Arabidopsis thaliana: one gene and its partner. The protein of the gene in region 1 interacts with the protein of each later gene in a pairwise test. Each region holds a gene or a part of one and is shown in the gene's direction. Other genes may lie near its edges.

Evidence for each region. The genes of interacting proteins can lie anywhere in the genome.
Region 2: the proteins of AT5G23710 (region 1) and AT4G35540 interact in a two-hybrid assay, tested with the Arabidopsis thaliana proteins (one study listed by BioGRID).

The regions. Positions count from the first base shown.
Region 1 is NC_003076.8:7,995,827-7,999,525, reverse strand, and holds AT5G23710 (DNA binding / DNA-directed RNA polymerase), read left to right. Parts: upstream 1-2,020; 5' UTR 2,021-2,141; exon of another isoform or gene 2,142-2,287; 5' UTR 2,288-2,305; coding exon 2,306-2,998; 3' UTR 2,999-3,105; downstream 3,106-3,699. Other genes in the region: PHS1 (dual specificity protein phosphatase family protein), read right to left, coding at 1-4, 109-285, 358-559, 695-837, 928-1,005, 1,176-1,217; AT5G23700 (coiled-coil protein), read right to left, coding at 3,106-3,242, 3,320-3,449, 3,600-3,699.
Region 2 is NC_003075.7:16,871,892-16,876,133, forward strand, and holds AT4G35540 (POLLEN-EXPRESSED TRANSCRIPTION FACTOR 2), read left to right. Parts: upstream 1-1,943; 5' UTR 1,944-2,047; coding exon 2,048-3,631; 3' UTR 3,632-3,707; downstream 3,708-4,242. Other genes in the region: AT4G35530 (phosphatidylinositolglycan-like protein), read right to left, coding at 34-150, 295-433, 637-691, 790-874, 1,198-1,389; WOX13 (WUSCHEL related homeobox 13), read right to left, coding at 3,923-4,008, 4,132-4,242. UniProt on the Arabidopsis thaliana protein: Plant-specific TFIIB-related protein that plays important roles in pollen germination and embryogenesis, possibly by regulating gene expression through interaction with TBP2 and the subunits of RNA polymerases. Binds double-stranded DNA in vitro.

The DNA.
Region 1 (3,699 bases):
TAGCCTGTCGCATGATGATTACTCATTACTTGAAAATTCTAGAAAGAAAGTGAAATGAGCAAAACCATTACTACATTTTTAAAAAACTACAAGAAAGAAAAGAAGCACCTGCGGAATCTGCACCCCTAGCCACTTGGAAAACTCATAACCTAGACGTTCTGATTGCGTGGCCATCCTCGATGATGCAAATTTAATAACTGCTGCTTCTTCCTTACGAGAGGCATCTTCAGAGCTGGAACTATTGAACAGGGCAAAGAAAACAACTCCTCCAGAATTCACAGTAACCTGTACAGACATCTAATAGTGTCAAAAGATCCTCCTAGCATCACCAGTCCAAGATCATAATGATATATATACCTCAAGTGGTTTACTCTGGTCTTCTTCAGAATGATCAGTGCTACTACTATGTTCAGTATGATGAAGTGAAGACAACATATTCCATGAAAAACAGCTCGAATCAATATCCACAGTAGAAGCTTTACCAAGCCTTTCCCACAAACTAATCTCTGAACTCTGCCTACTTGGTGGACTTTTAGGATCAGTATTCCTCTCTCCTGCACTGGATAATACTTGTATCAACTGACATGAAGACTAATATCCTAATTTAGAAACCTTTGTTCTGATATACTCATAAGATTCCAAAATCATAATCAACAAACCAAGTACTTGACAAAAAGTCAGAGAAAGTGTTAACCTAGTGACCATATCATCGATGCGGTGAAGGCGGTGAGGGAAGCCAGAGGATCCGTAAGTAGCACTTCGTTTACGAACTAAATCCAACCATTGAGTAAACCTATAAGCTGGACCAGATGCTATATCTCCTAACATGTACAAAACCTGCAAATTCCAAAAGTCTTCCAATTTTTAAGACGAGACTATTAATATAACCCTAAAACCTAAAACGAATTTAGGATCGGAGAAATTTACACGAGAAGTGACGGTGAGAGGAAGAGGAGACTCGTGCTCGTCGTGAACAAGGTATAGATCTTTCTCTTCGTCTTTTTCCTGCGATAGCACCATAATATCAGATCAGAGAAAAAGGGGAAAAAATCAAAATCAAAATCTGGCTCTGCGAAAAGAGGGAGAGATAAATGTGGGGGTAATGATGAACGCAAAAGGTGGGGGTGATAATGATAGATTATTAAATTTGTGGGGGAAAAATGAAGGATGATTACTTGAGAAAATGGTTGATCTCGCTTCTTCTCAGGTTCCGCCATTGCAAAAGCTTAGGTTCTGTTTAATTTTAGAAATGTCTTTTTCTTCAAATGTCAGCTTTGTATCTGAGAAGAGGAAAGTCTCAAGGTATCTTTAATTAATATGAACTTGTCGGACGAAGAAAGAAGACGGATATTTAATTTCATAAATTTATTATTGTAATAAAGACTCTGATCATTTTATTCTCATTATTCAAGATTTAAAAAAATAAACATATTATTATTTACAGAACTGTCTTCTAATTTTATTTTATTTCCGTTTTGTGTTATTATTTAAAACTATATTTTGTATGAAACTATTTCGGTCGAAATCAACAACATTTATACAAAAATGGTTTTAGATTTTAAAAAATATTCACTAAAGTTTATGGTTTAATCTGAAAAAGTTCAGTCTAATAAAATAAAATATTTATAGAATTTTTTTGTCAACTTATTTCTGAAAATTAATAAGCATAAATATTAGTAAAAAATCAAAAATATATACTTTCTTTGTTTTACAATATAAATTGTTTTGGACCAAATTTTTTGTTTTACAATATAAATTATTTTCAAAATTTTATGCAAATTATATATTATTTTAATACTTTATAATTATTTCTATTTTTAAAAAATAAATTGAATTTTTTAAAAATAAATATTTTTAATCTACATGTTTTTATCTAAACCAACTTGTATAGCGAAATCTCATATTGAATTAACAAAAATCCTGAACAATATGTACCAATCCACTTCGAGTTACCTTTTGTTGTGTATTAGTTTAGGCCCACACTAATATATTTGACTTTCTTCTCTGTCTTATATATTTAGCTAAAAGCAGACCTAGGGTTTTCGTATCCGTTCCAGTCACGGACGACTTCTCCGTTCTCTGAACTCTCCTAAAGCCTCTATATTCATCGGATTGTTCATCTCCAGTAAACCAATCTCCAGGTAAATTGAATCTGAATCTTCACCAAAATCCTTTGTAATCTCAGAATCATCGATTTTATCACCTTCTTATAGTATAGATCAATCCTTTTCGTAAATCACACGAATTCTCTCAATTACCGTGTCACAATTCCGATTGATTTTTGCAGTTTGGTGAATTTGTAAGAATGAGTAAACGAAAACGTCCGGATCCGAAATCATCGGGAGGTGATCTAAACGAGCCACACGAGAAGAAGCTTCTGGATCTGATTCGAATAAACCAAGGAAGAGGCGCAACTATGTTCGAATTGAAACGCGAGAAAACGATCCCAGCAACTATAGTTACTCGATTGATCGCTTCTCTACGGAAGAAGAATCTCATCAAAGAAGTAGCAAACATGAACAACAAAGGTGTCAAACATTATCTTGCAATGGAGTTTGAGCCTTGTAGTGAACTTACTGGTGGTGAATGGTACACTGATGGAGCTCTTGACCTGTCGAAAATCGAAGATTTGAAAGCCAAGTGTGTGATGATTTTGGAGAGGCATAGGCAGAGGGTTGTTACTTTGGAGGTTTTGTGTGGGTATTTTGTTAAAGAGGAGAAGCTGAGTGTTGATCAGACTAAGGAGATACTTAAGAACTTGATTTTGGATAATTTGATCATGGAGGTGAAGAGTAATGGAATGAATGAGTTTGCTTCTACGAGAATCGGAGAAGTTTGCTACAGGTTGACCGGGAAAAAGTTCGGTAATGGCGAACCGAGAGCTGGAGCTTTTGCTTCGATTCCTTGCGGGGTTTGTCCGCATATAGCGATCTGTTCACCTGATGGTGTTATCTCTCCCACTACATGTGTTTATTTTCAGAAATGGTTAGACTTTTAGCACTCTCTTTTTTTTTTTTTTTTTGGGTTTAAAACTTAAGATTTTAGATTATGATGATTTGTTTTTTCGGTTATACAATAGAGAATAATGCTATTGATATCTTTAAATTAAGAGTCAAGGTTGTGATTTGAAAGAGTAGATGTCGGAGAAGAAGATGGAAGAAGCTGATCTGTTTCTTTGCGACAAGCTTCCCATAATTGTTGCTCTACTCCTAGTTTCCTTAGCTCTAACAAACCTCGTTCCACTGTAAAGAGAACAAGTTAATGTGTTATTAAAACTAGAATTAGGACACAGGGGAAATCAATTGAAGAAGTTTATTACCGTCAACGGCATCTTGTGAAGTCGGAGATTTTCCTTCACTACGACTGGTCCAAAACTGGAAACGTTCATCTGCAATGTCTTCTTCCACACTATGCAACTTGGCTCTACCCCAGAAGTACATAAGCCATGCCTGCATTTATAACCAAATAACGTCGGTTCATCAAGATTCATCGCGATAAATTTAGTTACCAACCACAATATACCAATAATTACCATCTCTTGTAACAAAATGTCACATTATAACCTTATAGTTATGAAATTATAGGCATAAAGAAACTACCTGCTTAAAGGCAACATCTTCTTGTTCCCCTTCTTTTATCTCTGCATTTGAGAAATGTGATAACATAGTAAGGATTTCATCAAGTTTGACTGCTGATATG
Region 2 (4,242 bases), on another chromosome or scaffold:
ACAAATCTACAAGTTCTCTAATCACAACTGCAGTTAACTAGATACATCATGTTCTTCTTCAGCTATCGTTTCACTTTGGTGGTCTGTACCGATAGCAGCACACAATGCTTTCCAAATGGGAACCAACATCTTCAATGGAGGACGCAGTTCCTGTCCAAAGAGGAAATTGAACTCAAAATCAATTGCTATAAGTAATATTCCCGAATTGAATAATTGGTAACTCTAGATTGTTTCTCAAAGTTGTCAGCAGAAGTTTTTCTCTCACAATGTAATGAAACAAACTGGTGCCATTACCTTAAACACCAATGTAAGTTGTTCTTCACCACGAAGAAATAAAGAGAGACTCCAGTAACACGTAATGGGAGTGACACATTCGACCAACACAGGCTTCAAAATCTTGTCAATAGGGATAAACCTGGAGACAGTTTTTCCACTGCAAAGCAGAAGCATGCACAAAAAAGTAGGTACTTGTATGATTGGTAAAACTTAAAAGCATAGATCATAATGGTTCATGATAATTACAACAAATTCAACCATTACCACCTATCTTAGAGACCACTAATACGGAGTAGTTCAAAGCATTAAGCCATCATGGAGTGCAGACAACAGAATACTAACTAAATGGATAAAGCATACCTTAAATATTGAGTTTCAAGTTGGATCCCGAAGGTTGGCAAGATTATCACAGATTCTGAAGAAATCAAAGAAAAGCTAGAATTAGTTAAAACGTGAAGCTGATATCATTTGGTAAGCCTGTAAAGCGTGTATCAGGATGAACCAGGATCTCACCTTTCTTGACGAACTTGCGACTATGTAGCATAACCAAGAAACCACTTAAAAGGCAGCCCCAAGAAAGAGTTCTAGCTGGATTGTCCTGTTTCATGTGAATTATCCCTTTCAACTTAAGTGAAGAAGAAACAAATGGAACAACAACAAAACAAGCTTGTAAAGTAACACAAAAAAAGAAAAGTGCTTTTATACAAACCTTGTCATGTATTAACATAATGCTCACAACAGAATGAAAATATCAAACTATACTCCATCACCAATCCTAAGAAACAAAATGGTATGCCTTTCTCATGATATGTACTAGCAACACTTGTTCTAAGCAATGCATCAGAATCACTCAAATGTCAAGCAGATTCACATCAAAATAACAAACGGCAACAACCAAATTTTCTCTAAGAGCATAATTACCTTTCCAAGCAAAAAGTACATAGAACTCGCCAGAAACACAAGGAAGAAACCAAGCCCCCAACGACGGGCATAACCAGTTCCGCTGCTTCCGTTGATAATCACATGGTGAATATCAATGGCTTCTCTAGTTGACTTACTTCCACTTTCGTGTATGTAAGTGTATCTCTTATTCGAAACAGACAAGCTCACCATTTCAAAGCTAGTTTAGTTGAAAAACAGTCAAATGTATCACCGTCGTTTTACTCCCAACTCATATACGAACCTGCCCAAGGTTAGCTTTCTCAATACCCAAGTAACAATTTTCAAACTTTGAGTCTCAGTCAAATCGGATAGCAACAAAACTTCTCTGCGGCTTTCCGTCGAACACCATGCGTGCGTTATAATAACCCCTCTTGAAATCTCATAAATCTCTCTAACTATCTCCACACAACTTCCTCGAAAACACAGTAGCAATCTATCAAAAAGGACGAAGCAAGGATTCACCCAACGAACGAAAGCCACAATTCTTCGAATTGATCAAATCTGAAACCGGCTTCTCTTACCGGTAAAGAGATAAAAGACGGCACTATGGTGGAGGAGACAACAAAAAGCCAAAAGAGAGAAAATAATACAAACTGTGTGGCGTCCTAAATAAAACACCCTGGCGTTTTTGTTTTATTCATATTAACATCATGCCGTTTTCATCTCGACAATATAAAAACCTAGCTTATTTTTAAGGAAAGGTCAAATCTTAATTAGTTTTGATTTCTCTCTCCAGTACTTCTCGATTCGCCGGCGATCCGAATCTCATTCTTCTGCTTGTCGGAAAAAAAAACCCGTAATTTAAAGTGTGAAGCTTTCGGTTTGAATCATGCGTTGCAAGAGATGCAATGGAAGCAACTTTGAACGCGACGAAGACACGGGGAATTCGTATTGCGGTGGATGTGGGACATTACGAGAGTATGATAATTATGAGGCACAACTTGGCGGCATAAGAGGACCTCAAGGTACATATATACGAGTAGGCACCATTGGTAGAGGCTCTGTTCTTGATTATAAAGACAAGAAGATCTATGAAGCCAACAATTTAATTGAGGAGACAACAGAAAGATTGAATCTTGGTAATAAAACTGAAGTGATTAAGAGTATGATTAGTAAGCTTACTGATGGGGAATTTGGACAAGGTGAGTGGTTCCCTATTTTGATTGGAGCTTGTTGTTATGCTGTGGTAAGAGAAGAAGGGAAAGGTGTTTTGTCTATGGAAGAGGTTGCTTATGAAGTTGGATGTGATTTGCATCAGTTAGGGCCTATGATTAAGCGTGTTGTGGATCATCTAGATTTGGAATTGCGAGAGTTTGATCTTGTGGGTTTGTTTACCAAGACGGTTACTAATTCACCGAGATTGACTGATGTTGATAGGGATAAGAAGGAGAAGATAATAAAGCAAGGGACTTTCCTGATGAATTGTGCGTTGAAATGGTTTTTGTCGACGGGGAGGAGACCAATGCCTTTGGTTGTGGCTGTTTTGGCGTTTGTTGTTCAAGTGAATGGTGTGAAGGTAAAGATTGATGATTTGGCGAAAGATGCTAGTGTTTCGTTGACTACTTGTAAAACGCGGTATAAAGAGTTATCTGAGAAGCTTGTGAAGGTTGCTGAAGAGGTGGGTTTGCCTTGGGCGAAAGATGTTACTGTGAAGAATGTTTTGAAACATTCAGGAACTTTGTTTGCTTTAATGGAAGCCAAGTCCATGAAAAAGAGAAAACAAGGGACTGGGAAAGAATTAGTTAGAACTGATGGATTTTGTGTGGAGGATTTAGTGATGGACTGCCTAAGCAAAGAATCTATGTATTGTTATGATGATGATGCTCGTCAAGATACTATGTCTCGGTATTTTGATGTAGAAGGTGAACGTCAGCTTAGTTTATGTAACTATGATGATAATATATCGGAGAATCAGTTGTCTACAAAGTATAATGAATTTGAGGATCGAGTTTGTGGTGGGACTCTTGCGAAAAGAAGTCAGGGAAGTAGTCAGAGTATGTGGCAAAGGAGATCTGTTTTTGGAATGGTGTCAACTGAAAATTGGTGGAAAGGGAAATCGGAATTGAGTAAAAGGCTTTTGCTCAAAGACTTGTTGGAGAAAGATGTAGGGCTTGAAGCTTTGCCTCCTTCTTACATAAAGGGTTGCGTTGCAGTTGAAAGACGAAGAGAAAAGATTAAGGCAGCTAAGTTGCGGATTAATGCAATACAACATCCTTCTGACAATGTTAGTGAAGGTGCGTTGTCTTTGGAGCTTGAACATAGCAAGAAGAAAAGGAAGAAAGGATCTGAAATTGATTGGGAGGATTTGGTTATACAGACTCTGGTCTTACACAATGTGAATGAGGAAGAAATAGAGAAAGGCCATTACAAAACTTTGTTAGACTTGCATGTTTTCAACTCTGGAGAGGTTTGAATTGAAATGTTTTTCTCTTGGAATTTTTTTATTTCTTACAGTATAATTCATTTAAGGATGTAAAAATCGTTCTGAATGCAGAAATTATCAAAGCAAGCATCACAAGACGATTCAACAATCCATGTAAATGTTTCTCTGAAAATGATTAATAAGATAAACTACTTGTTTCTTTAATAAGCCCTGAAAGAAACAATTTAAGAAAAACAAAAGTCTAATACTGCTTATGACTGACTACCAAATCCATTTCATTGATCTCTCTGATAATTAGAAGTTTCCTCAGCTTGTATTCAATCAGCCTGACATGCCATAATCTTCAACATGATCATAAAGGTTGTAACTTTCCGCCAGTCCCATCTTTCCAACAAGATGCTCATCCCCTACAAACACAAATCACAAGAAATTATCTGAGACAGACACAACTTACTTGACTATTTCTTCAAAGCCAATGTCTCTGTTTTTTTCAGTTACGTGTGAACTAAAAAGGTATCTTTGTTACTTACTTGGGTTTGATAGAACATCTAGCAAGTGAAGGTCTGAGCTAATCTCAGGGCTCTGAAAGCAAAGATCTTCAGGCCTAGGAGCAGTAGTTGTTGCTGTTGTTGTCCCTAACC